7 linked regions of the Xenopus tropicalis genome follow. The protein of the gene in region 1 purifies or fractionates together with the protein of each later gene. This does not show direct contact. Links are inferred from orthologs where the notes say so. Each region holds a gene or a part of one and is shown in the gene's direction. Other genes may lie near its edges.

Region 1 (4,590 bases):
AGCCATAGAGATGCCTGACACCCCAACACTGAGCCACAGAGATGCTGACTACCCAACACTGAGCCACAGAGATGCTGACACCCCCAACACTGAGCCACAGAGATGCCTGACACCCCAACACTGAGCCACAGAGATGCCCTGACACCCCAACACTGAGCCCACAGAGATGCCTGACACCCCCAACACTGAGCCATAGAGCTGCCTGACACCCCAACACTGAGCCACAGAGCTGCCTGACACCCCAACACTGAGCCACAGAGATGCCTGACACCCAACACTGAGCCATAGAGATGCCTGACACCCCAACACTGAGCCACAGAGATGCCTGACACCCCAACACTGAGCCCATAGAGATGCCTGACACCCAACACTGAACCATAGAGATGCTGACACCCCAACACTGAGCCACAGAGATGCCTGACATCCCAACACTGAGCCATAGAGATGCCTGACACCCCAACACTGAGCCACAGAGATGCCTGACACCCAACACTGAGCCATAGAGCTGCCTGACACCCCAACACTGAGCCACAGAGATGCCTGACACCCCAACACTGAGCCACAGAGATGCCTGACACCCCAACACTGAGCCACAGAGATGCCTGACACCCCAACACTGAGCCACAGAGATGCCTGACACCCCAACACTGAGCCACAGAGATGCCTGACACCCCAACACTGAGCCACAGAGCTGCCTGACACCCCAACACTGAGCCACAGAGATGCCTGACACCCCAACACTGAGCCATAGAGCTGCCTGACACCCCAACACTGAGCCACAGAGATGCCTGACACCCCAACACTGAGCCATAGAGATGCCTGACACCCCAACACTGAGCCATAGAGATGCCTGACACCCCAACACTGAGCCATAGAGATGCCTGACACCCCAACACTGAGCCATAGAGCTGCCTGACACCCCAACACTGAGCCACAGAGCTGCCTGACACCCCAACACTGAGCCATAGAGCTGCCTGACACCCCAACACTGAGCCATAGAGATGCCATAGAGCTGTCCCATAGCAGAGGAAGGATGGGTTCGGGCTGAGGGAGATGAGTAGATACAGCCTATTGGGGGAAGAAGAAGGGGGGGGGGTTGCCATGGCTACCGGGGGCTGCTGGGACCGGTAGTTCGGTAAAGGGCGGCGTTCCGCTCTCTAGGGGTATGTTACGTCATTTCCGTTCAGGCTTCCGCACCCCTCCCTCCCCCGGCTGACTGTTGTTCTAGCAGCGGTTGCCAAGGATACGGGCGGAACCGCGCAATAATAGGACCCGCTCGCTACTGACGTCACCGGCCGCAGATCTATAGGCTAGGAGTTTGCCGTTTCCCAGCCAACCAATCAGCGCCTTCCTGTGCAGCTGTGTAGCCACACCCTTTTACGCAGCGGAAAAGGCGTGGCGTAGTTCGAATTCTTAGCTCACTGCCAACCAATCAGTAGCCGCTAGGAAATTTCACGCCTGCGCAATCCAAATCCTCCGTTTACAAGAGAGGCGGGGCGCGGCGTTAGCGTGTTTGCGTCATTACCCGGCGGCGAGAAAACACGTGACTTGCTAGTACTTAGCTCCGCCTACCGCGTCCGCTTCTTCCTCGCACACAGACACCGATGGGGGACGGAGAAAAACTCAATATTGACTCCATTATCCAACGGCTCCTGGAGGGTGAGCCCCGGGGCATGCCGGGAGGGGTTAGCGGGGGCCCAACCGGGAGTGGGGCAGTTACACTGTAATGGGGGGGGGGGGGGAGTGAGTGGGGCAGTTACACTGTAATGGGGGGGGGGGGGAGTGGGGCAGTTACACTGTAATGGGGGGGGGGGGGAGTGGGGCAGTTACACTGTAATGGGGAGGGGGGAGTGAGTGGGGCAGTTACACTGTAATGGGGGGGGGGAGTGGGGCAGTTACACCTGTAATGGGGGGGGGGGAGTGGGGCAGTTACACTGTAATGGGGGGGGGGAGTGGGGCAGTTACACTGTAATGGGGGGGGGAGTGGGGCAGTTACACTGTAATGGGGGGGGGGAGTGGGGCAGTTACACTGTAATGGGGGGGGGAGTGGGGCAGTTACACTGTAATGGGGGGGGGAGTGGGGCAGTTACACTGTAATGGGGGGGGGAGTGGGGCAGCTACACTGTAATGGGGGGGGAGTGGGGCAGTTACACTGTAATGGGGGGGGGAGTGGGGCAGTTACACTGTAATGGGGGGGGGAGTGGGGCAGTTACACTGTAATGGGGGGGGGGAGTGGGGCAGTTACACTGTAATGGGGGGGGGGAGTGGGGCAGTTACACTGTAATGGGGGGGGGAGTGGGGCAGTTACACTGTAATGGGGGGGGGGAGTGGGGCAGTTACACTGTAATGGGGGGGGGGAGTGGGGCAGTTACACTGTAATGGGGGGGGAGTGGGGCAGTTACACTGTAATGGGGGGGGGAGTGGGGCAGTTACACTGTAATGGGGGGGGGAGTGGGGCAGTTACACTGTAATGGGGGGGGGAGTGGGGCAGTTACACTGTAATGGGGGGGGGAGTGGGGCAGTTACACTGTAATGGGGGGGGGAGTGGGGCAGTTACACTGTAATGGGGGGGGAGTGGGGCAGTTACACTGTAATGGGGGGGGGAGTGGGGCAGTTACACTGTAATGGGGGGGGGAGTGGGGCAGTTACACTGTAATGGGGGGGGGGGAGTGGGGGCAGTTACACTGTAATGGGGGGGGGAGTGGGGCAGCTACACTGTAATGGGGGGGGGAGTGGGCAGCTACACTGTATGGGGGGGAGTGGGGCAGTTACACTGTAATGGGGGGGGAGTGGGGCAGCTACACTGTAATGGGGGGGGAGTGGGGCAGCTACACTGTAATGGGGGGGGGGAGTGGGGCAGCTACACTGTAATGGGGGGGGAGTGGGGCAGTTACACTGTAATGGGGGGGGGAGTGGGGCAGTTACACTGTAATGGGGGGGGGGAGTGGGGCAGTTACACTGTAATGGGGGGGGGGGAGTGGGGCAGTTACACTGTAATGGGGGGGGGGAGTGGGGCAGTTACACTGTAATGGGGGGGGGGAGTGGGGCAGCTACACTGTAATGGGGGGGGGGAGTGGGGCAGTTACACTGTAATGGGGGGGGGAGTGGGGCAGTTACACTGTAATGGGGGGGGGGAGTGGGGCAGTTACACTGTAATGGGGGGGGGGAGTGGGGCAGTTACACTGTAATGGGGGGGGGGGGGAGTGGGGCAGTTTACACTGTAATGGGGGGGGGGGGGAGTGGGGCAGTTACACTGTAATGGGGGGGGGGGGGGAGTGGGGCAGTTACACTGTAATGGGGGGGGGGGAGTGGGGCAGTTACACTGTAATGGGGGGGGGAGTGGGGGCAGTTACACTGTAATGGGGGGGGAGTGGGGGCAGTTACACTGTAATGGGGGGGGAGAGTGGGCAGTTACACTGTAATGGGGGGGGAGAGTGGGGCAGTTACACTGTAATGGGGGGGGAGAGTGGGGCAGTTACACTGTAATGGGGGGGGAGAGTGGGGCAGTTACACTGTAATGGGGGGGAGAGTGGGGCAGTTACACTGTAATGGGGGGGGAGAGTGGGGCAGTTACACTGTAATGGGGGGGGAGAGTGGGGCAGTTACACTGTAATGGGGGGGGGGAGAGTGGGGCAGTTACACTGTAATGGGGGGGGGGGGAGGAGTGGGGCAGTTACACTGTAATGGGGGGGGGGGGAGGAGTGGGGGCAGTTACACTGTAATGGGGGGGGGGGAGGAGTGGGGGCAGTTACACTGTAATGGGGGGGGGGGAGGAGTGGGGCAGTTACACTGTAATGGGGGGGGGGGGAGTGGGGCAGTTACACTGTAATGGGGGGGGGGGGAAGGGAGTGGGGCAGTTACACTGTAATGGGGGGGGGGGGGAGTGGGGCAGTTACACTGTAATGGGGGGGGGGGAGTGGGGGCAGTTACACTGTAATGGGGGGGGGAGTGGGGCAGTTACACTGTATACAATAACAATAATACCTGTATATTTATATCTACTTAACCCCCCCCCCAACTGACTGAGCCCATGTCCCACAGGGGAGGGATATTTCCCCTTTAATATCACACACACACAGTATCAGGGTTCCTATCAATCTGAGGGGAGCGGCCCTGTCCCAGTGGGTCAGGCTGTAAGGAATGGCCCAATAGAAAGCTGTGTATTGGGGGGGTGGGGTCAGGGTACCAGTGAGCATCATGTGTTCCACTCAAGGTGTAATTTTTTTGGGGTATGGGCCTATGATTGGTCCCTTTTTGGGTGGGGTATGGGGGAGGGGCCTATGATTGGGCCCTTGTTGGATGGGGGAGGGGCCTATAATTGGGCCGCTGTTTGATGGGGGAGGGGGCCTATGATTGGGCCCTTGTTGGGTGGGGGAGGGGCCTATGATTGGGCCCTTGTTGGGTGGGGGAGGGGCCTATGATTGGGCCCTTGTTGGGTGGTGTAGGTGCATATAAAGACCAGTTGGGGTGCAGCCGTTGTACTGGGAGCTGATTGGAGCCTGTATGTAGGGGACGGGGGGCCCTTGGCTGTGTATAACGGGGCCCCCCCTCCCCAGTTCCTGACTGGCCTGTTCCTCCCCCCCTACAGTT
Region 2 (4,783 bases), on another chromosome or scaffold:
TGGTGATATCTAGGAAGTGCTGAATGGAAAGTAAAAGTCATTGTAATTGAAAAAATCTGAGCTGTCAATCATATATTGCCTGCCCCGCCTCTATGCCGAAGGCATAGATATATAGGCAATATATGATTGACAGCTCAGATTTTTAAATACATTTATAACAAGTATGGATGATTTCATTAAAAAAAAGAATTTGGGTTTCATGTTTCAGTTGCCTGGTTGCTAGGGTGCAAAGTACCCTAGCAACCAGGCTTTGATTCGAACGAGAGAAGGGAATATGAATAGGAGAGGGGCTGAATAGATAGGTAATTGATATAAAGTAACAGTAACAATAAAACGGGTCAGTTCTCCTGTTGCTAGGGCTCAAATTACCTTAGCAACCAGGGAGTGGATTGAATGAGAGACTGGTATATGAATAGGGGAGGGGCTGAATAGAAAGATAAGGAATAAAAAGTAACAATAAAACTGGAGCCTCACAGAGCAATAGGGTTTGGCTGCCGGGGTCAGTTATACTGTTGCTAGGGCTCAAATTACCTTAGCAACCAGGGAGTGATTTGAATGAGAGGCTGGCATATGAATAGGGGAGGGGCTGAATAGAAAGATAAGGAATAAAAAGTAACAATAACAATAAACTGGAGCCTCACAGAGCAATAGGGTTTGGCTGCCAGGGTCAGTTATACTGTTGCTAGGGCTCAAATTACCTTAGCAACCAGGGAGTGATTTGAATGAGAGGCGGGTATATGAATAGGGGAGGGGCTGAATAGAGAGATAAGGAATAAAAAGTAACAATAACAATAAAACTGGAGCCTCACAGAGCAATAGGGTTTGGCTGCCGGGGTCAGTTATACTGTTGCTAGGGCTCAAATTACCTTAGCAACCAGGGAGTGATTTGAATGAGAGGCGGGTATATAAATAGGGGAGGGGCTGAATAGAAAGATAAGGAATAAAAAGTAACAATAAAACTGGAGCCTCAAAGAGCAATAGGGTTTGGCTGCCGGGGTCAGTTATACTGTTGCTAGGGCTCAAATTACCTTAGCAACCAGGGAGTGATTTGAATGAGAGGCGGGTATATAAATAGGGGAGGGGCTGAATAGAAAGATAAGGAATAAAAAGTAACAATAACAATAAAACTGGAGCCTCACAGAGCAATAGGGTTTGGCTGCCGGGGTCAGTGACCCCCATTTGAAAGCTGCAAAGAGGCAGAAGAAGAATTTATTTAAAAACTATAAAGAAATAAATGGGAAACAGGATTGGGAGATTTAGTCCAAGACACTAAGTGCTAAGACTTTACTTTCCCTTTAATCTCTTTACCAAGATAGGGAATGAGCTGGGAACCCCAAGATGAACCCCATTTGACTTGTTATTCTCTAGTGTAGTTATATATGTTTATTTAACCTGCATCTGGGCAGAGAAACCCCAGAAATGGTGGCTGACCAATAACAGGCGCACTAGGGAGTAGTCACATGACAACAGGAGGCTAACGTCAGCTCCCCGGGCTTTGGCTGAGCATTCTGGGATCTGTAGTTTAGAGACTTCCGGACACCCCATTAGCCAATCGCATTACGCAGCCCCCCCGCACGGGCTATAAAGAAGCGGCGATATATCTGACACACACACTTTCCCAGGAGGCCTCAGCTGTCACAATGTGTTGACGTCACTTACTACGGCCCGACTATGACGCGGCTTATGCGCCCCACCAACCAGGCGCTTCCAGTCATGCTTTTCCCTCTCTCAACATGGCGCCGCCAGGACTTCCCGGGCGGAAGTGGCGTCGGAACGCATAGACTTCCGCTGCGCGGAGAAGGTGCGCAGTGCGAGAGAGAAGCGTGATGGCGTCTAATGCAGCGAAGCAGGTGGCGGCCGAGCAGGTACTGGGCATGGTGGGCATAATGGCTGCTGGGGGGTCTGCCCGGCCGGTACCCCCCCCCCCCAACCGGCCGTTTAAAGGGCAACTAAGCCCAAAGCCCTTTTTTCATTATGGCCATTCATTCCCTTATATAGACACATGTGCTATTATAAGCTCAGTGGGAACAGGCTTCCTTGGGCATTTACTCAGATTCATTCCCTATTGGGATCCCTGATAGCCTTCCCACAGCAGCCCAGGAGCAGCCGGCTCTTCTGCTTCCTAGAAACTGTTGCTAGCCAGCTTGGTAGCAGTGTTGCTATGGTACTGAGCTGTTAGTGATATCCCATAATCCCTCAGTTGGAAGGGGGTTCAACAATGGGACTGGGGCACCTTAGTGTTTTATTATTACAGAGAAAAGGGAATCATTTAACCATTAAATAAACCCAATAGGGCTGTTCTGCCCCAATAAGGGGTAATTATATCTTAGTTGGGATCAAGTACAGGTACTGTTTTATTATTACAGAGAAAAGGGAATCATTTAACCATTAAATAAACCCAATAGGGCTGTTCTGCCCCAATAAGGGGTAATTATATCTTAGTTGGGATCAAGTACAGGTACTGTTTTATTATTACAGAGAAAAGGGAATCATTTAACCATGAAATAAACCCAATAGGGCTGTTCTGCCCCCAATAAGGGGTAATTATATCTTAGTTGGGATCAAGTACAGGTACTGTTTTATTATTACAGAGAAAAGGGAATCATTTAACCATTAAATAAACCCAATAGGGCTGTTCTGCCCCAATAAGGGGTAATTATATCTTAGTTGGGATCAAGTACAGGTACTGTTTTATTATTACAGAGAAAAGGGAATCATTTAACCATGAAATAAACCCAATAGGGCTGTTCTGCCCCAATAAGGGGTAATTATATCTTAGTTGGGATCAAGTACAGGTACTGTTTTATTATTACAGAGAAAAGGGAATCATTTAACCATTAAATAAACCCAATAGGGCTGTTCTGCCCCCAATAAGGGGTAATTATATCTTAGTTGGGATCAAGTACAGGTACTGTTTTATTATTACAGAGAAAAGGGAATCATTTAACCATTAAATAAACCCAATAGGGCTGTTCTGCCCCCAATAAGGGGTAATTATATCTAAGTTGGGATCAAGTACAGGTACTGTTTTATTATTACAGAGAAAAGGGAATTGTTTAACCATTAAATAAACCCAATAGGGCTGTTCTGCCCCAATAAGGGGTAATTATATCTTAGTTGGGATCAAGTACAGGTACTGTTTTATTATTACAGAGAAAAGGGAATCATTTAACCATGAAATAAACCCAATAGGGCTGTTCTGCCCCCAATAAGGGGTAATTATATCTTAGTTGGGATCAAGTACAGGTACTGTTTTATTATTACAGAGAAAAGGGAAATAACTTTTTAACGTGATTAAAAAAGAAGTCTATGGAACATTATGGATAAAGGGTTTCTGGATATTGGACCCCATAGGCCCCTGTAAGAAGATGAGCCAATGCTGGGCTGATCTGTTTGCCCACATTGTTTAAGAGTTGCCATTAAAGGGAAAGTTAAGCCAAATACCCTTGTTTAATATGTACGTTCTGTGTTTGTTGCTACAGGTGGTGGCTGGATTTAATCGCCTGCGCCAGGAGCAGCGAGGTCTCGCGTCCAAGGCAGCGGAACTGGAGATGGAGCTTAACGAACACACGTGAGTCTCATTAGCAAACAGGTCGTTCAGCAATGAAGAATCCTTCAATGTGATTCTCCCCGAGGGTCGTTATTCCTCTCTGTTGCACGCTACATTTGTTCTGTAGTCGGAACCAGTGCAGATCTCCCTAACTAACTGACAGTCGTCTCCCTCGCTCCGCAGGTTGGTTATCGACACCCTGAAGGAAGTGGAGCAGGGCAGGAAGTGTTTCCGGATGGTCGGGGGGGTACTGGTGGAACGCACCGTGAAGGAAGTGCTTCCGGCTTTGGAGAATAATAAAGAGCAGGTAAGGCTCTGCCTTGTGGGCACCTAATTAAAGGGCATATTAACCTTTATTGGGGGCAGAACAGCCCTATTGGGTTTATTTAATGGTTAAATGATTCCCTTTTCTCTGTAATAATAAAACAGTACCTGTACTTGATCCCAACTAAGATATAATTACCCCTTATTGGGGCAGAACAGTCCTATTGGGTTTATTTAATGGTTAAATGATTCCCTTTTCTCTGTAATAATAAAACAGTACCTGTACTTGATCCCAACTAAGATATAATTACCCCTTATTGGGGGCAGAACAGCCCTATTGGGTTTATTTCATGGTTAAATGATTCCCTTTTCTCTGTAATAATAAAACAGTACCTGTACTTGATCCCAACTAAGATATAATTACCCCTTATTGGGGCAGAACAGCCCTATTGGGTTTAATGGTTAAATGATTCCCTTTTCTCTGTAATAATAAAACAGTACCTGTACTTGATCCCAACTAAGATATAATTACCCCTTATTGGGGCAGAACAGCCCTATTGGGTTTATTTCATGGTTAAATGATTCCCTTTTCTCTGTAATAATAAAACAGTACCTGTACTTGATCCCAACTAAGATATAATTACCCCTTATTGGGGCAGAACAGCCCTATTGGGTTTATTTCATGGTTAAATGATTCCCTTTTCTCTGTAATAATAAAACAGTACCTGTACTTGATCCCAACTAAGATATAATTACCCCTTATTGGGGGCAGAACAGCCCTATTGGGTTTATTTAATGGTTAAATGATTCCCTTTTCTCTGTAATAATAAAACAGTACCTGTACTTGATCCCAACTAAGATATAATTACCCCTTATTGGGGCAGAACAGCCCTAAGATATAATTACCCCTTATCAAAGCATTCAAGACCAAGTAAATGTTAGTTGGGGAGGGCGGAGCTTGACACTGGC
Region 3 (4,092 bases), on another chromosome or scaffold:
CGGGCCGGGGCCCCTCCGGCTCCCGGTCAGCCCCGGGCCGGGGCCCCCCCGGCTCCCGGTCAGCCCCGGGCCGGGGCCCCCCCGGCTCCCGGTCAGCCCCGGGCCGGGGCCCCCCCGGCTCCCGGTCAGCCCCGGGCCGGGGCCCCCCCGGCTCCCGGTCAGCCCCGAGCTAGTGGCACAACTGTACATGGCCATCCCAGACCTGGAGTCCCTCATCCACTCCCAAGAACTGGTGCACCAAGTCCCTTTAGATCTCGGACTCCCTTAGGCCAGGGTCCAAGGATGGGAATGCCAGGTCCCTTCAGGCCTGGAGCTCCAGGACCATTTAGAGCAGGTGCACCTCCTGTTGGCCTTCCAAGAGGAGGGTTTCCTGTTTCCTTTAGGGCAGGGGCCCCAGGTCCTCCCAGGATAACTGGCCCTCGGGGCCCTTCTTCAATTAATCCCACAGAACTACAGGACTTTCAGATTGCAAGTTTACCTGCAGGGCAGATTCCAGGTGGTTCCCTTGTGCCACAGGAATTCGATCACCCTTTAAATGTAAAGGAGGCTTCTAAATCTAGCTCTGCCATGCAGAACATATTGGCAGAAGATCCCGATATGTCTTTGTCATCAGTAAGGGTTCCCTGTAGTGAGGAAGGAGAGTCGGGTGCAAATATTTTAAGAGATGCAGTGCCAGACTTCCCTGAAAGGCATACCAGGCATGGTGACATTGAAAATTATGATGCAATTCAAGAACCAGCCTATGCTAATGCTCACTTACAGCCGGGCCCTTCCAGGTTACATCATGGGAGAGGAGGATTAAGGGAACAATGGTTGCAAGGTACAGAACAGTGGAGTAGCCAAGGGAAAAGATTAGAAAACTATGAAGTAAAATTTGATCAGAGGGGTAGAGGTCGCTCTAGAGGACTAGTCCGTGAACGAATTCTGCCCAGACCAGGCAGTCGTGATGCTATAGAACATTTAAGAGAGAGAGATTTTGGGTCAAGGGGTAATTTCTTGGATGAGAGACCTCCCCAGGGCCCTGATTATGATCCACTTTTTATGAGAGAGATGCTTCACAGAGATCATAGATTTTCTGATGATGAGAGACCTCCTTTGGATCCCTTGGAAATTACAATAAGAGAATATTTGGACAAAGTTAGGCTTGATAATTGGGAATGGGAAAGATATATGAGAGAGAATGAATTTCTTCGAGAGCAAAGCCATGCATTTCTCAGGGATGAGAGGCTTCCTTTTCACCACCATCCTCCTCTCCCTCCTCCTCCCCTTCCTCGTGACACAGATGTTCGTCAAGATCCTTGGTGGGATAGACTTCCAGAAAGAGAACAGTACAGAGGGCCTGGTGATGTAGTGGAGAGATTTGAAAGGCCTTATGAGGGACATGATCGGGAGAGAGATTACTTAAGAGTGCAGGAGGATTTGGACTTTTTGACACGTGAAAGGATAAGTGCACATCCTGTTCGACGACCACTTTCTCCTCACCGTTCACTTTCACCTTTACGGCCCCGCTCTCCTCTACCACCTCTTCCTCCTCTTGATAGATATCTTGATGAAAGTTGGAGAGATGACAGAGAAACTGACCGAGATTTTCGTGAACGTGGGGACATCAGAATACTGGAATACCCAGAAAGGCAAGAAGAAAGAAGCCGTGAATTCCCCCCAAAGAGAGTAGAGTGGAGGGAAGATCCATGGTATCCTTCTGAAAATAGATTGGAAAATCGTATAGATCCCAGTCACAATCTTGAAACACCAGTGTCACTGGAAAACCCTGTACCTGGTGCAGAAAGCAGCCAGGAAATGGAATCTGCACCCTCTTCTGCTGGAGTTTTGGCACTGAGTCAGAGACAACATGAAATTATACTAAAAGCTGCACAGGAACTCAAAATGCTCAGGTACCCAATGGAAACGTACATGCATAAGCTTGTAATTGCTGTTGAGTTTTGCATGTCCGTTTTGTATTTTTAGTGAAAATATGTATAATTTAGAAGTAGCTGATCAGGCAGATTGTAATTTTATGGTTTTAAGTATTTTTTGTGTACTTGAATTAGTTTTTTTTTTTTTCTTCAGAAACATCAGGCTTTTTCAGTTATTTTAATTTAATCACAATATTACAAAATAGTTGACCAGAAGTTTAGAAGCTCACTTACCAACTTGGGTTCCTATCAAAACATCTTTGAGTTGAGATAAGCTGTGTACCTAAAGCAACTTTCTGCAAAGTAATTTTAGAAAGAAAATTAGTGTTTAGACTTGCCATGTGGTTCTTGACATCATTTTTCACTTTCTTCAGGGAACAAAAAGAACAACTGGACAACTTAAAGAACTTTTTTAGTGATTCTCAGACTTCTGGGGAATCAAAACACCAGCCACCCTTGCCAGGCGATAGTGGTTCAGCCCCAAATATGTTCAAGGTAGGTTTGCCTAACAGGACCAACAGACTTCCCACAAATACTTAAAAAAAACACACATCAGTTATTTATGATTTTATTAAGTTTATTGGTTTTTCAAGAAAAGAGGAGAATGAGAACATAAACATTTAACAGTTAATACCAGTACATTCTTGGTGGACCTATAGTATAATGAAACAGTAGTAAACTCCATCCATGGAGCCACAGAAGTTTGTGGTCAAAAGCCTTTGCCCAGTATTTGTGCTTTTATGGCCTTTATGGGCCTAATCCACTTCACATTGGCGACTAGTGCCTGTTGAGCGTGTATGTGTCATTTTTCACTTGCTTCCTATAGGTGTTTTTGCAGCTGTCCGTATGCAGGATGCTACTTGATGGGTTTACTCAAGAGGCAGGTCAGGGGATCAGGATCAATTCTTTATTTGAGGACAGTTGGGGTGCATTTGCCACCATCTCTTAATATGCTGTTACCACCCTGCACATTCACCAATATGCTTATTACAGGAAAAGGGGGAATAGGGAAAGAAGAAGTTCTCTTATCCAATACATTTTCTCCAAAACTGGTGTTTTGTTGGGGGTATAAAATATGTATAATATAAAGTATAAGATAAAGAAGGAATAGATAACCCCTTAATTAGAAAACACTTTTAACAATGGCTTCCCACTGTTTGATACGGCTCAAAATACCAATCAGGAGTTCATTAATTGATTCAATAAAATGATTAGTGCTAAATAAATAAGAAAAGGGGCAATTATTTGAAGGTGCTAGCTTTTTCTCCACACCTCTTGATTATTCCTTTTCTTTCTATATATACCTAATTAATTAAGGTGAATTATCAATCAATAATTTGGCACTTTAAAGGAGAAAGAAAGGTAAAAACTAAGTAACTTTATCAGAAAGGTCTATGTAAATACAGCCATAAGCACTCACAGAAATGCTGCACTGATTTCTCTGTCAAAAGATTTTCTGTGTCTGTTTTCCTCTCCCAGAGACACACAGCTCTCTGCTCTCTCCACTCTCCTGCTCCCCCCTCCCTCAAGAATGCTAAGAACTCACCCCCCCCCCAGGAATGTGGAACTGAGCCAATTGGCAGGAAGCTTCCTCATAGTCTAACTGAGCATGTACACTGGTCTTGCTCTTGGTGCAGGAGTGAGGCATTATGGGAACTTTTTTTACACAGTCCAGTGTTTTTTCTTGTCCTGTTTGGCTTCTGATCATGAGAACGGGAGAAATATGGGGAAACTTAAGGGCACTATTGAGAGAACTGAAGTTATGCCTGCAGCTTGACATTATCTCTTTATTAGCCTTTCCTTCTCCTTTAAAAAATGTGCACATTTTTATCTAATTTTTCAGTCACCAATTGATGATTTTGAAGAGAAACTGTAAGAATACAAAACTATAGCACATGCACTTTGTTAAATTAAATTGGTTTTTTAAGTGACAGTATTGAAAAAGCTAGCACCTTCAAATAATTGCACTTTTCTTATTTATTTAGCAGTAATCACTTTATTGAATCAATTATTGAACTCCTGATTGGTATTTTGAGCTGATTCAAACAGTGGGAAGCTATTCACCAATATGCTGTTACCAACCTACACATTAACCCCTTATGGGAAAAAGGTGCCCATCTCTTCACAGCCTCCAAAGTAGGGGGATTTTTTTTGTTTGTTTTTAATCTTATCTTGCTTT
Region 4 (4,608 bases), on another chromosome or scaffold:
GTCAGATGATTCCGATGGAACTGATTATATCCAAATGAGATTATTATTTAATTTATAATCTTTATACATGTATGTATAGCTTTAGTTTCTGTCCTATATGTTTAGCTTTATAGCTTACATTAGCATCAAGCATCACTTTACAAGGCAGGTGGCAACTCTACTCAAGACACATATTAATCTTTTATCTAATGCTCACACTTAAACTGTTTTGTAATATCTGTGGAGTTTCTATTTATTTAACGAACCATATATTCTGACCTAAAGTACAACTGAAGTTAATAAAATATAAATATTGTCCATAATGGACACAATAAAACAAATTAAGGGGTTATTTACCCCTTTTATTCTACAGTATTTCTTATCCACTGTATTTGGACACGTTTGGTTCTTATGTCGACTCTGACATGCCATAGTAAGTGTATGGACACTGATCAGTTTACCACTACTTGAGTAGCTCTCCTGATTTAGTGCATTCCTTCCTAGTGGCTAAGGCTTAGGGTGGCCTGACAAATGACAATAAAATCTTTGATTTTTGGTACATGTATGGAAGCTAACATTTGGCATCCCCCAGTTATTGTAACTTTCATTCTCCTTTAAAAACCTAATCTGCTGATGCACCACGTTTTCCATTGTATGGAAGTGTCTTCACTTTCTGCTGTTCCCGTTGTTCAGCCTCGACAATGTATGAAACTGACTGTAAGCTCTTTTGGGCAGACCCTTTTTACCTCTTGTATCGGTTACCAGTTAATTATTTGTATGTAATCTGTATGTTCAGTGCATACACCCATTTATTGTACAGTCCTGCAAAATATGTTGGTGATGTATAAATATGTGTTAATATTAATAATAGTAATAATAATAACCTTGTATTGCACCTGCAAGCTGATTGGTCACATACTGTACAAGGTCCGGTTGTATATGACTGCCTAAAGGCTATGTATGTAGAGGCACTGACTGTATAATACTTATATTGCCATGACCCTTGGGTACAGAACACAAGTAAAAAGGTTAAACAAATTGTGGTGGTCACTTAAATCTGGGCACCTGTAGCCAATAGCCTTGGATACTCCATGACACTTTCAAGGTGATGAGCCCCTAACAAATCTGTTACTTAGGATAACAGTGACTGGCACACACACTCATGTAAATGCCTCTGTGGACCAGTCACTGATAGCTTGGGGCACTGGGTCAGCACCCTATTTGAATGGGCTAATAGCATCACAAATTAACCCTAAGGATTAAACACTAAGTAATGGATCCAATCTACATACACCTAGGGTCCTGTACAGTAACACTTGTCCCTGAGTCTCATTACATCTTGTCCTACAAGCTGACAATCAAATAAAAGATGGAATAAGCATTTTAAAAATAGGATTTCGTTTCCCCCCTTCAACTGTTGCAGAACTAAAATACCCACAAAGGTTCCTAGTGCGGGTTAAGGGGTTGTGATTGAAACACATCTGGGGGGGCAGCAGCTTTACTGCACCTTTTCATTAGAAATATGTTACATGATGGGGGTAAAATGAAGAGAGAGCCTAAGCAGGGGCCACATAGAGGAGAAACGAGACGCCTCAGGAAGTGAGAGTAGCAAAGAGACTGCCCTTATGAGAGGGGGGAGGAGAGACTGGAGACAGAGGGGGAGGGGAGAGTGTGTGCGGCTGCGAGCAGTACTGGGGAGGAGAGAGTGCTGCTTGGCCGGGCTGTGTGTGTGAGTGCGCTGAGGGTGCGGCTCCCATAGTGGCACAATATACCCTACACTCCGGCTCACCCTTCATGACTCGTACGGGTGTCACTAGGAGGAGCAGTGAATGCAGCGGGACCCCTGTCCCTACACGGCTCTCTCTCTTCCTACACCCCCCTCCCCTTGCCTGTTTATTCCCCTGACCCCCACTCTCTCTCTACTCCCCGAAACGTGGACCTGGAATCCCGTCCCTGGTAAAGAATTGTCCTTTGCTTCTCTCTAATTGGGATGTTTCCAGCCCCCTCCCAGGATTAAGGAACGGTGAAAGCATTGGAGGGAAACGAACTTGAGCTCATTCGGTTTGGAACTTCTACAGCCCCTTTGTGATCCTCTCTCCCGGCCTTCGGGTTTGTTGTTCTCTGGCCATCTCTCTCTCTCTCTGCGGAAAATTCTATACGTTTGTGGGATTATTACACCTTTCTGGATTCTGAGAAGAGAAAAGCTTGTTGGATTTACAATAAACTCAATGCAGGAGGAAGTGGAACATTACACTGAAATATCTAGCAAACTCTAATAAGGTAATGCTATGGCTTTTACAGGGGAGACAGGGGGGGAGAGTTGGATGAGGCTGCTTTGTGTTTTGGCCAAGGACTGGGGGGCTTCAGCAGTAAAACTCAGGGCAAGTTAGCAGGTGGTTGGTTCTGGGCAGAAACATGCTTTAGTCTGGGGCAGAAGGATGCTGCTGGTTTTAAATGGACCGAGATGTTGTCTGATCTCTAAACATCACCACAGTTGATATAAGAAGTTCTCTGCTGCACAAAATGGTCCAGCAGCATGTTGCAGCTGTCTGAGTTGTCGGGCAGACTGCTCTCCCTCTCTGTGCTGCAACCAGATGCTTCTATTGTTGCTGTTGGGGCTGTTTATAAATAAGTGCTGTTTTCCAGGGTGATTATTAGTATATTACAGATGCTATTCAAGTTCTACACGGACATGAAGCATACAAAGAGAAACTGAAATCCGAGAGCTTACAATCTAGAATGCAAATGTCTGATGTCTGGCCTTCCAGCTGTTATTTGAACTTACAGTATTCCTTGCCAGGTCAAGACGGTTGAAGAATATGTTGTCAGCTGATTGGCAAGGTAGAAATCCCTTAGGCCTTACGGTTTTCAGACTTCAGAACCCCCATTCATGTTGAACATTTGGTTGGGGCCCTCCTCCGCTTGTAACTCTGTTACAGATGGCATAGCTCCTTGAGTGTTTGCCACAAAAATCTTACCCTGTTAACCGTCATTCCGGGAATTCTAGGAGTATATAAAAAAGCATATTTCCCCTCTGTAGTCTACCTGCTAAATCACCCCCCCCCAGTTACTGCCTTGTTCAGGCCCACAGTTTCGAAGTCTTGGCTATTTTAGATCAGGGATATAATGTTTGAGCCCCTCCATCCTCGTACTACAGTAGTGTTTGACTGTCATGGTATGCATAATAGTTGGAGGGCCCCAGGTTGGACATGCATGTAAATGATATGTTTCCCATTCAGCTGTTATAAAATTGCAGCTTCTGTCTTCAACAGTGAGTTCCCAGGTTACACACATGTCTGCTATAAACTCAGTTTTACTCTGGTGGTTCTGCTCAGCAGGCCCTGTCTGCATGTAGTGTGGGGGGGGGGTCCACACTGATTGGAGTCGTTGCCTAGCAGTTCTGTAAATGCAACAATGACCAGAACTTGCTTTGCATCTTTACAAGAATTTCTAATGGAGCTCAAGCTCTTTTGCTTAAGTTGACTTTCTACCAATGCAGAAAATGACAAGACTAAGAGAAGTAGAATACAATGTTTGAGCCTGATGGTAAATCAAATAACAGATATTTTATTATTAACTTTACAGCTTTATTAATGTATTAATATTTGTGCCATCTACCTGTCTGTGACTGACCTGGCACATGGGATTTGATCCAGGTATGGGATCCTGGAAACCTGTTACCCAAAAGCTTTAAATTACGGGAAGGCCATCTCCCATAGACTCCATTTTAATCAAATAATTCTAGTTTTTGAAAATGATTTCCTTTTTCTCTGCAATAATAAACCAGTACCCTATTCAGTTTAATGTTTAAATGATTTTTTTAGCAAAATTAACATATGGCAATCCAAATTACAGAAAGACCCCTTATCTGAAAAGTCCAAGGTCCCGAGCATTCTGGATAACCGGTCCCATACCTGTAGTTGAAATGACCTGCAGCTGCTTCTTTAAAATGATTACACTAAAAAGAATACATATTTTAAATAAATAATGCAGAGTGTCCATGTCATGCTCTGTTTTCCTTACCGTTCTATTTGTAGGAAATATTAAATGACACAGTTACGTAAAGCGAAGCTTTGCGAGAATACAAGGCAACGTTTGGTGTGGTTTTACAGCTATAAAAATTGAGTGTTAGTTGGAGGCCTGCTCTTTTCTTTCCTGTGTTACTTCAATGGCCTTCGTTACATTAACCCCACTGCCCAGATCAGGGCCTTGACAAACATTTTAAATAGTTTTAAACTTTACATATTTCTTGCGTGTTTGAAAAAGTTTCCATTAACTTTATCTTCAGAAGGGGTGTGTGTGGGTGTATGAGGTGGGGGGCAGGGCAGATTGCTATGGGATTTCATTTTTTTTCTGCCTTGTTCTTACACACAGTGGAGCTCTTTGTTCATTGGAAGGCATGCAGATCTAAACTGGCTCTCCTAATCGGCCAGCCGAGTGCTCCACTGACAGCAGCACAATACAACTTTTTCAATTTGACTGCAAGGGAAAAATATGCCAATACTTTTATAATTTATTTATTTTATTTTTCTAGGTCAGATCTACTGAATCCTAGAGTTGTGCTTTCTTTTTTTTTTTTTTTGCATACCTGGGCTTCATTGTCAATACTGAAGGGTTGTGAAGTTACTA
Region 5 (2,893 bases), on another chromosome or scaffold:
CACCCATCACATACAGCATATTTATAGTTTAGAGAGAATACAGCCACATCAAGCAAAGTTATTGTTGGTGGAATCAGTTTTTGCTATTTGATATCTTACGCCTCCCCAAAAGCCATGTCAGACAAATTCTCAAACTGAATTGTTGTTGTATCACACTACACATGTTTACAATTGCACTGTATTAAAGAGTTGGTGAAGGTAGGGCTGGGCGATATACCGCTTAATACCGAATACCGGTGGTTTTTTTTAAAACTATATTCATTTTTCAGATACCGCAATACCGGGGTGTCAGGGTACTCACCCGTGCGGCCCGGTCTCGCGTGCGTCCTGTTGTCCGCGGGACGTTGCGCACGCGCATCCAGGTGCGCGTGCGTCAAAGCGCACGTACATGTCAAAGCGTGCACGTCCGTGATGCGCTGACGGCGCCGGTTCTGTGCATGCGTGGGGGGTATTTAAAGCTATCAAACGCCTCCTCCTGTGCTATGTTGTCTGCGGCCTTGCCTGGGAAACTAAGCCTGCCTGATTTACCTTACGACTTTCTGTTGCCGATCCTTCGCTTGACTGATTTTCAATACTGCAGTAATTATTTTCTAATTTATTAGGAAATGGGGTTAACACCTAATCATGCATGGAAAAAAAAAATACCGTCAAATACCGTGACACCGATATAATTTTGAAAAATACTGTAATATAAATTTTTGGTCATACCGCCCAGCTCTAGGTGAAGGTTAAGTAAAAAAGACCTCAGCTCTAACATCTCAGATCTAAGTTCCTCTACTTTATACTAGGGATGAAGCAAATCCACTATTTTGGTATCCGGCCAAACCCCAAATCCATTGAAAAGATTTGGGCAAATACCAAACTGAATCCTAATTTACATATGCAAATTAGGCCACGGAGGGGGTTAAAGAGGACTGTATGCTTTGCACATGGTCAAAAATTTTATAAATATATAAAAATAGTTTTTTTTAATCCAACCTTATGATTTTGTTATCTCAATTATGACAAATTGCGTCCTTTGTCTGCTGGAATAGTGGCACTGTGGGAAATAATAGGGTTTGTATTCAAAGGTAAAACTGCAATCTTAAGACAATAACCCATTTTATATAAGCTGCAGAAAGAGAGGGCAAAGACATTTTCTTCCTAATATTTCCATTAGGCAAATACATAATCATTTCTAAAATGGTCCTGGAAACTTTTTTTTTTTTTAAATGTATTTTCAAAATAAACAGGAACAGAAAAGAAGATTTCAGACATTAACAGTAATCATATTTGGCAATATATAGAATGTCGGGTAAATATAAAAAATAACAATATAGTGTGATTCTTAAGAATGAAATGTGTATGTGTGTTTCTATATATCTCTGTAGGAGCTGGCTTTTCTGGATGACAGTAACACTGTATATAAGCTGATTGGTCCAGTGCTGGTAAAACAGGACCTGGAAGAGGCAAAGTCTACTGTGGATAAAAGACTTCAGTACATTAATGGAGAAATGTGAGTAGTGTTTTTCTTTAGTCTGTATTGAGATTAATAACTGGTTTGTATAATGTTTGAATGTTTGTTTCTCAGCAAAAGATATGAGACCACACTTAAGGATATGGAGCAGCGTTCAGAGCAACATAGGGCATCCCTTACTAAGCTTCAACAAGATTACCAGAGGACACAAGGAAAGGGGCCAGTGAAGGCCTGAGGGGCATTCAGAATAATCTATAACCCTAGACCTGGTTTTCATTGGTCATTAATGCTCCAGGACTGTGTAACCAAAACTTTGCCCACCATTTATTTTCCTGGAATACTTTTGGCACCTCCTGCCTCTTGTGCACACTGATGCCACTTCTTGGACAGTAAGAGCTTCATTGTGGAAATACTATGTCTTGAATTGTGTTGGGTAATAAAAATGCTTTGACTCCGAGAGGACTTAATCTTATCTTTCCTGGGAGAATAGCAGAACATTGCACGTAAGAAATACACAAACCATACATATAGTTTCTGAACAAATGGAACAACTCCTGACCTATGAACAATAAGTACCAATAGAAATGTAAGAAGTGAAATTAGATACCAAGGGGCCTCCACCCAAAATAGGTTTTGTTTGTTTGTATAAGAGATTAATAATTCTAAGCAACATTCCATTATGCACTAAACAATTGAGTGGTTCAATGGTTATTTGTAAATTACATTGCTTTTAAAAGTAGTGTTTTTCTGCAGGTCTGTTAATCTTTTGGCTTTTGTTATTGAACACCATTGAATAACTGTATAAAAAAAGTTGCTTAGAGTTACATCTTCTTTTATTATGCCAAAAAGTGTTGAACCTCTTTAAGGAAGACTAATATTTTCAGCCCAATTACTACATATTAGAGAAATTACATGACTAAAATACATTTGTGTCTCCAGATCTATTAATGGACCCATGTGCTTGGTTCGTGGCACTGGATCAGAAGTGTGTAGCGCTGGCTCCTTCTGAAAGCTCAGACTCACAATGCACTAAGATTAGGTAGAGTTAACAGTGTAAAAAGTATACCATGAAATCATGACAAAATCCCTTTGTGAGCTCAGCAGCACCCACGCTGCAAGGGGGGTGGACGCCGATAATGGGTCTCTCAGCAGCTCCAGAGTATGTAGCTTAAAGAAATACAAAAACGTTAAAAATCTAGTCTTTAGGAGCTTGTTTTCCAGTGGCCATGTGATTGTACATGTGATACCTGTAAGATACACACAGTTACATTTGGAACATTAACCCCTTCAATACTATATGAAAATGTCATGAAAGTCAAATTTGGTCTGTGGAATTTAAAGGAGACATATCCTATAAAAATGATGAATGTAGCAGTCAATTATACTTCTAGATATAGAATTCTCTGGATGTGCAGGGCTCTCAGTACACTGCACTGT
Region 6 (4,092 bases), on another chromosome or scaffold:
TCAGGGCCGGAACCTGGGGTAGGCAGAAGAGGTGGCTGCCTAGGGCGCAACGATTGGGGGGCGCCAGGCAGGAGCCTCTCCTGTCTACCCCTAGTCCGTGCTACTTTGTTATTGCCCCCACCGCTTGTCATTAGCGGTGGAGGCAATGACCGATCAGAGCCCTACTTGTCATTAGCGGTGGAGGCAATGACCGATCGGATCACACCGCATCCCCTCGCGTGTGTTTCGGTGCACATGCGCCGTTGGGGGGGGTGTCGAACGCCAAAGCACACGCGTGTGGGGGGGCGGTGCAGGGGGGAGGTGGCTGACCAGGTTGCCTAGGGAGCTTGGTCGGCTTGGCCCGCCCCTGCCCTAGATAAATCCAATATGCAACTTGAGTCATTTTGAGAAAGAAAACCTCAGTATTTTTGCAGCAGAAATTTTCTGAGAGCCTAGAACGGAAATCATGAATCTACCTGTGCATTTTCCCAGTGTCCTTAAAGGGTCATTATACTGACTAATGTTAGTCTGTCTTGTTCAGCCAAACAATGGCATTCCCAATAAGAAATATTTTGTTACAGTGATTGTTAAAGCAGCTTGACCAAAGGTGAGAACTTTTTTTTTTTTTTTTTTTTTTTTAGCCAACCAGTATGTCAAACCGCCCCCTTGTATGAGACAATACACTTATTAAAATAAATAGGGCTCTGTCCCTATGTACAGTAAGTTGAAAAAGGAATCACTATATAAATAAAGAATTGTCATAAAAGTCTTCAGCTATATGTTTTACCATCTACAGTTCCTGCTTATAAATAGGTTATTTCTCATTAAAATACCCAATTCACATTTAATGCATGCTTTCAGCCGTTTGTATACTGTATTTGAATCACTTCTCCAATGGCAAAGGTATTATCTAGAGGTTACTCGTGGTTATTTACTATATTGTTCAACTTCACATATGGTTCAGAGAATTTAAGAGGATTAGAGACCCGGAAGAACAGAAGCCGTGATACAGCATCATTTCAGAAATTAAATTAGTATGACTAGGGTCTGAATAGGAATGGATCCTTTATGAAGGAAATTGCTTTACCATGCAAAAGATAAAGAACATTTCCAAGATGCATATTCTTACACAATGGGTAGGAGATTTCTGCAATACCATTTTTTTCCTTATCGTTTATGTTGGACAAATGTCACAAACGACTTGTGATTACTACAATCCTTGGATTATCCTAACGGGTTTGTCTTTACTTAGGGGATGTTTGGACTTGCTGATTCCTTTCCGGCTGAGATGCATCCAGTGTCATTACTGACATCCCTGGGTACATATTGTTTGGTCACTAGATATTGTGCCTGTAGAACACCAGTAAAGGGGCATTACACCTTATTTCTAAGTAAAGTCTATATGCTGATGTCCATCAGTATCTGATTATCAAAACCTCTGTCCACCACAGATCACTTCCCATTTGGTTTGTCTGCCACAAGCATCTATTAAAAAACACCCAGCACTTCCCTGGGCAACCCCTGGTACCTCCCATTCTTAGAAAGGGAAATCAATCCGAAGAAGGTAAATGTAAAATGCCATGTTTTAAATATAAAAGTTATTCTGTCCATGGTGCCATATTTACCTGCAGATACTTGTGTTTATTTGTGCAGGATCACCACAAATTACACTGGCACAGAGGCCCGAAATCCACTTCTAACAAATATTGCATGTTTACTTACGGTTATAATATCAACTATTGGATATAATTATTTGGTTTTTAAAATGGTCAGCATGTTTGTTTGGTCCTGCAGTAAGTTTTACATATCACACAAGTGCTAGCTAGAGGCTGGTTTCCAGGTGTGCCAGTGTGACTAAAAGCTCTCTCTCCTAGGGAATTATGCAGTAACCCGGGCAAAGGTTTCCCTTTAACCTACTGCAGAGATGTGGTAGGGTTAAGGATCAGAAGGGCTGAGTAAGGATAGAGAAGGGTAGATGGAGAATGACATAGAAGGAAAGAGGATGGACAAATGGAGGGAGCAGAGAGTAGATTATCAGATGTGTATAATGAGTGTGCCAAACTGTTGTGATAATTGAGCACTGACTATCCCCTATGCACATTTGGGGCAGGTAACTGCCTGCGCTATGTCCCAGAACATGACCCCTATAACTGGCATTATATGTAAAGGCATGTAGGATGATCTCATCATTTGGTGTTACTGGTCCTTTGTTTATAATGACATGGGAGGTCTTCTTATCCAAATAAACTTCACAGAAATTCAAAAGATCAAATGTATTGGTTATTGGCCAGGCTACTGACATAAAGTGAACAGTGTGTAATTATGCCTTGGAAGCCTGTCTCCTCATATCTACCTCACGCAGAACCTCTTTTGTGCCATTTCTTTTGCAGCACTCTACCTCTGGGGAGTTAAGAACTTTAAGAAAAGGCTTATCTCCATACCACTCTGAATCCCAGCTGTCACCACTGCCTCAATACCAGGAGCCTCTGCAGAACGTAAGGAAACTCTTCTTTCCCACTCATTCAGCCAGAGCTTTAACTGAATGCCAAAGATCTGTGTGGACGGAGGAGACACAAGCCTCCCTTCTTTACTCAAGCGTATTAAGAAAAATGAATATTTATAAGGCCAAACAATAGGCAGGAGTATTGTTGTCTCTAAATAATGCGCCTCTTGAATATTTATGGGACATAAACCCTGAGGTTCCCATAAATTACCCCTGAAACCTGTGTTAAAGGTCCCATGTGTATAGATCATCCTCATTTAAATTATATGCAGACAAAGTTAACACTTTAATATTAGGTACCTTGTATATGAATGTGGTTGTTGTATGTATTACAGTGCCTCATTGTCTGTTTGTCTAGGGGAAGCACCTTCATTTCCGTGTAAGGACTTGCTTTACAGTGTAAAGGGTATAGTGTCAGATAAAATATATATTAATCCCATATAATAATCACACAGGGAGGGAGCAGAACAGAAGGATCTGTACATCTCATCTGTCATTTGTTTTCTCTGTGCCCTAAAGAGATATCGGTAAACCCTGAATACACTTTGTCCCAGAAATATAAAGTTCTGCAGAATTTTCTTTATTTTACTTTCATAAATGGGTTGTTCATATTTGAACTAACTTTTAGCATATTATAGAAAGTGCTATTTTAAAAGAATGTGCAGTTCAGCAATAGCAATCAGATTTGAATAGAAAGTGTAGAAATGAAAAGTAACAAAAACACTAACATTGTAGTCTGCACAGGAATAATTATTTGGCTGCTTGGGTTAGGGACATATTTGAGAGCTGGTAGGAGTCATAAGAAGAAAAATAAGGCAAATAATTTCAAAACTATTAAGAATACCAAAAAAGACCAATTGAAAAATTGCTAAGAATTGGTGATTATACAACATATTAAAATTTTCCATAAAGGTGAACTACCCCTTTTTTAGTAACATACTGTAGAGTCTTTTTATATAACTCACTTTACAGTCTACAGACCAGGAAGTGATTGGGGTTATAGAAAATGCCTATTTTTTTATTGTGCTAGGCACATTTTAAGAAATATTCATGCAACAAAGATTTTTGTGCGATGTGCTCACAATAAAGACATTGTAATGTTAAAAGGGTGTACTGGTCTGAAAAATACATTTTATATTTATATATATATATTTCATACCAGAAAAAAAAAAAATATTTATATGTATGTATTTCTGGTATCAAATTTGGTGTAAAACACTGGTGTAAAATTTGGTAGCACACCAGTTTTTGCCTCTTTAACCATTCACCACATGTTACATTCTGCTACCGCAGTATTAAAATGGTAGCGCTAAGTCTATATAGACTCATGGAGATATTAAAAGAAAGGTAAAATCACTGAGGCTGCAACATTGTTAGGCACCTCCCAGTTATTCTAGATGCATACCTGTTCCATGGGGCTGACACACCAGCCCAGCAGCATTGGAACAGTGCAATGGAACACCAGTAGATATCCTGGTGGGCCCTACCATTCCAGGTCTATCCAGAAGATATGCATTGGCATCAAACGGGGGGCAGCATTGCACAACTCCATCGGGAAATATCCACCACTCTGGGTTCATGTGAGAGGTATGTGGCAGATAGGGGCTTGT
Region 7 (4,092 bases), on another chromosome or scaffold:
AGTTTTATCCGTGAGTAAAATGTACAAATCGCACTACCCACTCTTAATGTTCTTTAGCTAGTTTATTTAGAAATTGATTTACACTTTTTCCCCCCCCCCCCGTTTTTTAGTTCTGGCTTATGGAGCAACGGGTGCTGGCAAGACTCACACTATGCTGGGGTCACCGGGGGAGCCTGGAGTCATGTATCTAACAATGATGGAATTATACAACCGGATTGAGAGTGTAAAAGATGAGAAAGTTTGTAATGTTGCCATTTCTTACCTTGAGGTTTGTATTGTGCTAAAATTTTTTTTTTTTTTTTCTTAAGTCAAACTATTTAACTGCATGCAATTTTATTTTTTATTGTTACAGCACCATAAATCTCTACTTTGCCCATGTGTATAGACCGAAATGTTAAACGGGTCATCACTGTCAACTAAATACAAAAAGTCAGCTTAATTTTCAGATAGTCTTGGTTTATTTTTTAGTGATTAGTGTGTTTTGAATAATGTGACATTTTAAGTTGCAGCTTTTTATTATTAATCAATAAAAACCGGGAAAAAAACAGATGACTAAATAGCTAAACTGTATATCTGGAGGCAGGAGAAAGAGGGGCACAAGTCGCTTGAGAAAGCAGCCATGTAAACATTACATACAGAAAGGGGCAAACATCCACGATTTGGCCTGGCCTCACTTAAAGGAACAGTAACACCAAAAAATGAAAGAGCTTTAAAGTAATAAAAATATAATGCACTGTTGCCCTGCACTGGCAAAACTGGTGTGTTTGCTACAGTAAAGGTGGCCATACACGCACCGATATTATCGTACGAAACCTCGTTTCGTACGATAATCGGTGCGTGTATGGTATGTCAGCGAGCCGACCGATGTCGCAGGAAGCTGCTGAAATCGGTCGGCTCGTCGATCGCCCAGGTTAGAAAATTTTGATCGGGCGCCATAGAAGGCGCCTGACCAAAATTCTCCCTTCAGAGCTGAATCGGCAGAAGGAGGTAGAAATCCTATTGTTTCTACCTCCTTACCTGCCGATTCAGCCCTGAATGGTGTGTGGCGGATCTGACGATGTTTCGTGCGACCGATGGTCGTACGAAACATCGTCGGATCGCCACGTGTATGGCCAGCTTAACACTACTATAATTTATATAATAAGCTGCTGTGTAGCCACGGGGGCAGCCGTTCAAGCTGGGAAAAAGGAGAAAAGGCACATGTTACATAGCAGATAACAGATATGTTCTGTAGAATACAATGGTGTTTTATCTGTTATCTGCTATGTGCCTGTGCCTTTTCTCCTTTGAATGGCTGCCTCCATGGCTACATAGCAGCTTATTTATATAAATTATAGTAGACTTTCTGAAGTAAACGCACAACTTTTACCAGTGCAGGGCAGCAGCACATTATATTTTAGTTACTTTTATACACTTTCATTTTTTGGTGTTACTGTTCCTTTAAGTCCTTGCATCAACCATCTTGGCCACTTCCATTCCCAAATCTCTCATCATAGTTAATGTCTGTTGCCTGATAGTACACCAGGTCCAGGTTTAACATGCATTTTACCCATTTCCCATAAGCTAATTTTAAAGGGTTGTTTCACCTTTCTGTAAACTCTTAGTATGTTATATATGTTGCTATTCTTATCAACTTTGCAACTGGTTTCCATTATTTATTTATTTTTTTAATGATTTGCCTTCTTCTGCCTCCTTTCAAATGAGGGGGTCAATAACCCCGACAGTCAGAAACTATTGCTCTATGAGGCTACAAATTTGTGTTTATTACTTGCCTCGGGTAAGGTGTTCTTCATAGGCCTTAGTAAAACAGTGTCTTTGGTATATTTCACACAGTGAGACTACTGCTAATTAGTAGCTGTGGATGCCACAAAGAGAAGCCATGTCAGTCATTAAAAAAAGTGCCCTGGTAATGGCTACAGGCCCTAATCTACGTGTTATGCTTCTTATTGTCATCACTGGAAAACCAATCCTGAGCATTCCCGTGTGGAGGTAAATAGCACAGCTGATCTCTCTAAAGGGATCTTTTCAAAGATTGTTCCCACCCTCCACTGACGTTCAGGGCTGAATCGTCAGATATGGAGGTAGAAACAATTGAAATTCTACCTCCTTCTGCCAATTCAGCCCTGAACATAGATTTTGCTTGGGCGCCTTTAATGGCGCCTCGTCGAGCCGCCATACACTCACCGAATATCGTACGAAAGGAGGTTTTGTACGATATTATCAGTGCTTGAATGGCCGGCTTTACATTTTTAAATACAGTAATGCAGGGAAACATCATTTGTTCAATGCAATTGGTTTTACTTCACAATAAAGTATGGCTTGTGTTGTATTTATCTTTAGGTTTACAATGAGCAGATCCGAGACCTCCTTTCAAATTCTGGTGCATTGGCTGTGAGAGAGGATGCTCAGAAAGGAGTTGTTGTGCAAGGCTTAACATTACATCAGGTAGGATTAAGATTTCTAAAAGCCCAGTGCGCCCTACTCTAACTTACCTTAATTTAATACACTGTTAATTTAAGATTTCAAACCAACAGCAGCCATTCAGCTCCTATATTTGATTGGTCAGCTGCTTGTAAATAAAAGACCAAGTGCTTGTTTGGGTCAAATCAGATGTCCAAATCAGGGATACTTTGCTTTTAGCTTTCTATGACGCCCTTACCTTGTGTGTCCTGTGTGTGACACAAGTTAAGGGGATGCCCAGGTGCTGCCTATACATTATAGAACATTGGCATGGCTGCATAATAAGGGTGGAACTAATGAGCCCCATTTTGCAAGCCTAAAGAGTTGCCTTTTTGGGCTCCAGATACATTGCAGAGGGGACTAAGTGGAAAAACTGCTTGGCTGTGTTCCTAGTGTCACCGTTGCACACAATTTCTATAGAGTATAAATTATAAATTTTCTTAATCTCTAAAACTTCTCTGTACAGCCCCCAGAATGACATACATTTCTCCCTGCATGCAGATTTATTTTGTTTCTCTATTACAAGCCGCTAAACTGCATCTCTTTTACGGACTTCCTTGTCTAGCATGAAGCTCCACCCCTTTTGCTTTCTGAGCACACCTTCTCTCTGGCAATGATGTGCCTACTGAGCATGCCTGATTGATTTTAATTGGATCAGAGGCAGTAAGCATGCCCAGTAGGCACCACTTTGAGGTCATCATAGTTGGAGAAAGAGGGAGTGCACAGAAAGCAAAAGGGACAGAGCTTGCCGCTAGACAAGGAAGTCGGTAAAAGAGCTGCAGTTCAGCTGCTTGTAAATCAAATTTGCATGCAGGATCGTTGTGTTATTCTGGAGACTGTACAGAGTAATTTTAGGGGATTTCAAAATAAAAGATTACTTATGCTTTAAAAATAATTCCCCTTTGTGAAATATGCATCATGTTTGTCTTTGCTATAGCAATGGATAATACAATGAAACTCAAACACTTGTATCTAAAGAATGTCTTCATTCTCTCGAACATTAGCCCAAGTCAGCCGAGGAGATCCTTCAGATGCTCGACTATGGAAACAAAAATAGAACCCAGCACCCTACTGACATGAATGCATCGTCATCACGGTCACATGCTGTGTTTCAGGTAAGTTAAATGGCCACTATGGGTTACCTGGGAGTAAATTGTTACAGTAAGGGTAATGGAAGCAAATGCGATGATTTATTTTTTCCTGCAAAAATACATATTTAAGCATTTTGCATTAAAATCCACTCTTTGTGCACTGATTGGCTGATCCTGTACCTGTCAGTGCATACATGTCCAAGGTGCAGAAGGTAGTGGATCAAATCTTCAACAGCAGAGGAACAATCCATGTGCTATTAGGCTAGATTTATCCCCCTATTATTCACTAAATGAATGAAAAGAGTCGAACTCCATTAAAAAAATCTTTTTAGATCAGTAGCTGCAGTTTATAGATGGAGGTGCTGTGTATGTTGCCTTTAATACATTTCTCAAACACCCTTTCCCCTTTTACCAGATTTACTTAAGACAGCAGGACAAGACGGCAAGTATCAATCAGAATGTTCGAATTGCCAAAATGTGCCTCATTGATCTGGCTGGTTCTGAACGGGCCAGTGCAACGAACGCCAAGGGTGAACGTTTA

Evidence for each region.
Region 2: the proteins of ppp1ca (region 1) and pfdn2 purify together in Homo sapiens (affinity purification with mass spectrometry; 3 studies listed by BioGRID and IntAct, with this or other methods). This does not show direct contact. The link is inferred for Xenopus tropicalis from reciprocal best matches to the Homo sapiens genes PPP1CA and PFDN2.
Region 3: the proteins of ppp1ca (region 1) and ylpm1 purify together in Homo sapiens (affinity purification with mass spectrometry; 3 studies listed by BioGRID and IntAct, counting the BioPlex papers as one, with this or other methods). This does not show direct contact. The link is inferred for Xenopus tropicalis from reciprocal best matches to the Homo sapiens genes PPP1CA and YLPM1.
Region 4: the proteins of ppp1ca (region 1) and erbin purify together in Homo sapiens (affinity purification with mass spectrometry; 3 studies listed by BioGRID and IntAct, counting the BioPlex papers as one, with this or other methods). This does not show direct contact. The link is inferred for Xenopus tropicalis from reciprocal best matches to the Homo sapiens genes PPP1CA and ERBIN.
Region 5: the proteins of ppp1ca (region 1) and pfdn6 purify together in Homo sapiens (affinity purification with mass spectrometry; 3 studies listed by BioGRID and IntAct, with this or other methods). This does not show direct contact. The link is inferred for Xenopus tropicalis from reciprocal best matches to the Homo sapiens genes PPP1CA and PFDN6.
Region 6: the proteins of ppp1ca (region 1) and ccdc85c purify together in Homo sapiens (affinity purification with mass spectrometry; 4 studies listed by BioGRID and IntAct, counting the BioPlex papers as one, with this or other methods). This does not show direct contact. The link is inferred for Xenopus tropicalis from reciprocal best matches to the Homo sapiens genes PPP1CA and CCDC85C.
Region 7: the proteins of ppp1ca (region 1) and kif18a purify together in Homo sapiens (affinity purification with mass spectrometry; 3 studies listed by BioGRID and IntAct, counting the BioPlex papers as one, with this or other methods). This does not show direct contact. The link is inferred for Xenopus tropicalis from reciprocal best matches to the Homo sapiens genes PPP1CA and KIF18A.

Annotation. Positions count from the first base shown.
Region 1 is NC_030685.2:487,923-492,512, forward strand, and holds the start of ppp1ca (protein phosphatase 1, catalytic subunit, alpha isozyme), read left to right. Parts: upstream 1-1,534; 5' UTR 1,535-1,604; coding exon 1,605-1,659; intron 1,660-4,588; coding exon 4,589-4,590. Other genes in the region: npipb11 (nuclear pore complex-interacting protein family member B11), read right to left, coding at 1,173-1,177. UniProt on the Homo sapiens protein: Protein phosphatase that associates with over 200 regulatory proteins to form highly specific holoenzymes which dephosphorylate hundreds of biological targets.
Region 2 is NC_030684.2:143,079,986-143,084,768, reverse strand, and holds the start of pfdn2 (prefoldin subunit 2), read left to right. Parts: upstream 1-1,823; 5' UTR 1,824-1,826; coding exon 1,827-1,865; intron 1,866-3,482; coding exon 3,483-3,571; intron 3,572-3,733; coding exon 3,734-3,857; intron 3,858-4,783. UniProt on the Homo sapiens protein: Binds specifically to cytosolic chaperonin (c-CPN) and transfers target proteins to it. Binds to nascent polypeptide chain and promotes folding in an environment in which there are many competing pathways for nonnative proteins.
Region 3 is NC_030684.2:82,138,223-82,142,314, forward strand, and holds part of ylpm1 (YLP motif-containing protein 1), read left to right. Parts: coding exon 1-1,892; intron 1,893-2,287; coding exon 2,288-2,408; intron 2,409-4,092. UniProt on the Homo sapiens protein: Plays a role in the reduction of telomerase activity during differentiation of embryonic stem cells by binding to the core promoter of TERT and controlling its down-regulation.
Region 4 is NC_030677.2:187,603,540-187,608,147, reverse strand, and holds the start of erbin (erbin), read left to right. Parts: upstream 1-1,609; 5' UTR 1,610-2,259; intron 2,260-4,608. UniProt on the Homo sapiens protein: Acts as an adapter for the receptor ERBB2, in epithelia. By binding the unphosphorylated 'Tyr-1248' of receptor ERBB2, it may contribute to stabilize this unphosphorylated state.
Region 5 is NC_030684.2:72,109,273-72,112,165, forward strand, and holds the end of pfdn6 (prefoldin subunit 6), read left to right. Parts: intron 1-1,370; coding exon 1,371-1,495; intron 1,496-1,570; coding exon 1,571-1,691; 3' UTR 1,692-1,913; downstream 1,914-2,893. UniProt on the Homo sapiens protein: Binds specifically to cytosolic chaperonin (c-CPN) and transfers target proteins to it. Binds to nascent polypeptide chain and promotes folding in an environment in which there are many competing pathways for nonnative proteins.
Region 6 is NC_030684.2:90,646,638-90,650,729, reverse strand, and holds part of ccdc85c (coiled-coil domain-containing protein 85C), read left to right. Parts: intron 1-2,369; coding exon 2,370-2,474; intron 2,475-4,092. UniProt on the Homo sapiens protein: May play a role in cell-cell adhesion and epithelium development through its interaction with proteins of the beta-catenin family. May play an important role in cortical development, especially in the maintenance of radial glia.
Region 7 is NC_030680.2:20,710,488-20,714,579, forward strand, and holds part of kif18a (kinesin-like protein KIF18A), read left to right. Parts: intron 1-110; coding exon 111-268; intron 269-2,340; coding exon 2,341-2,445; intron 2,446-3,464; coding exon 3,465-3,575; intron 3,576-3,966; coding exon 3,967-4,092.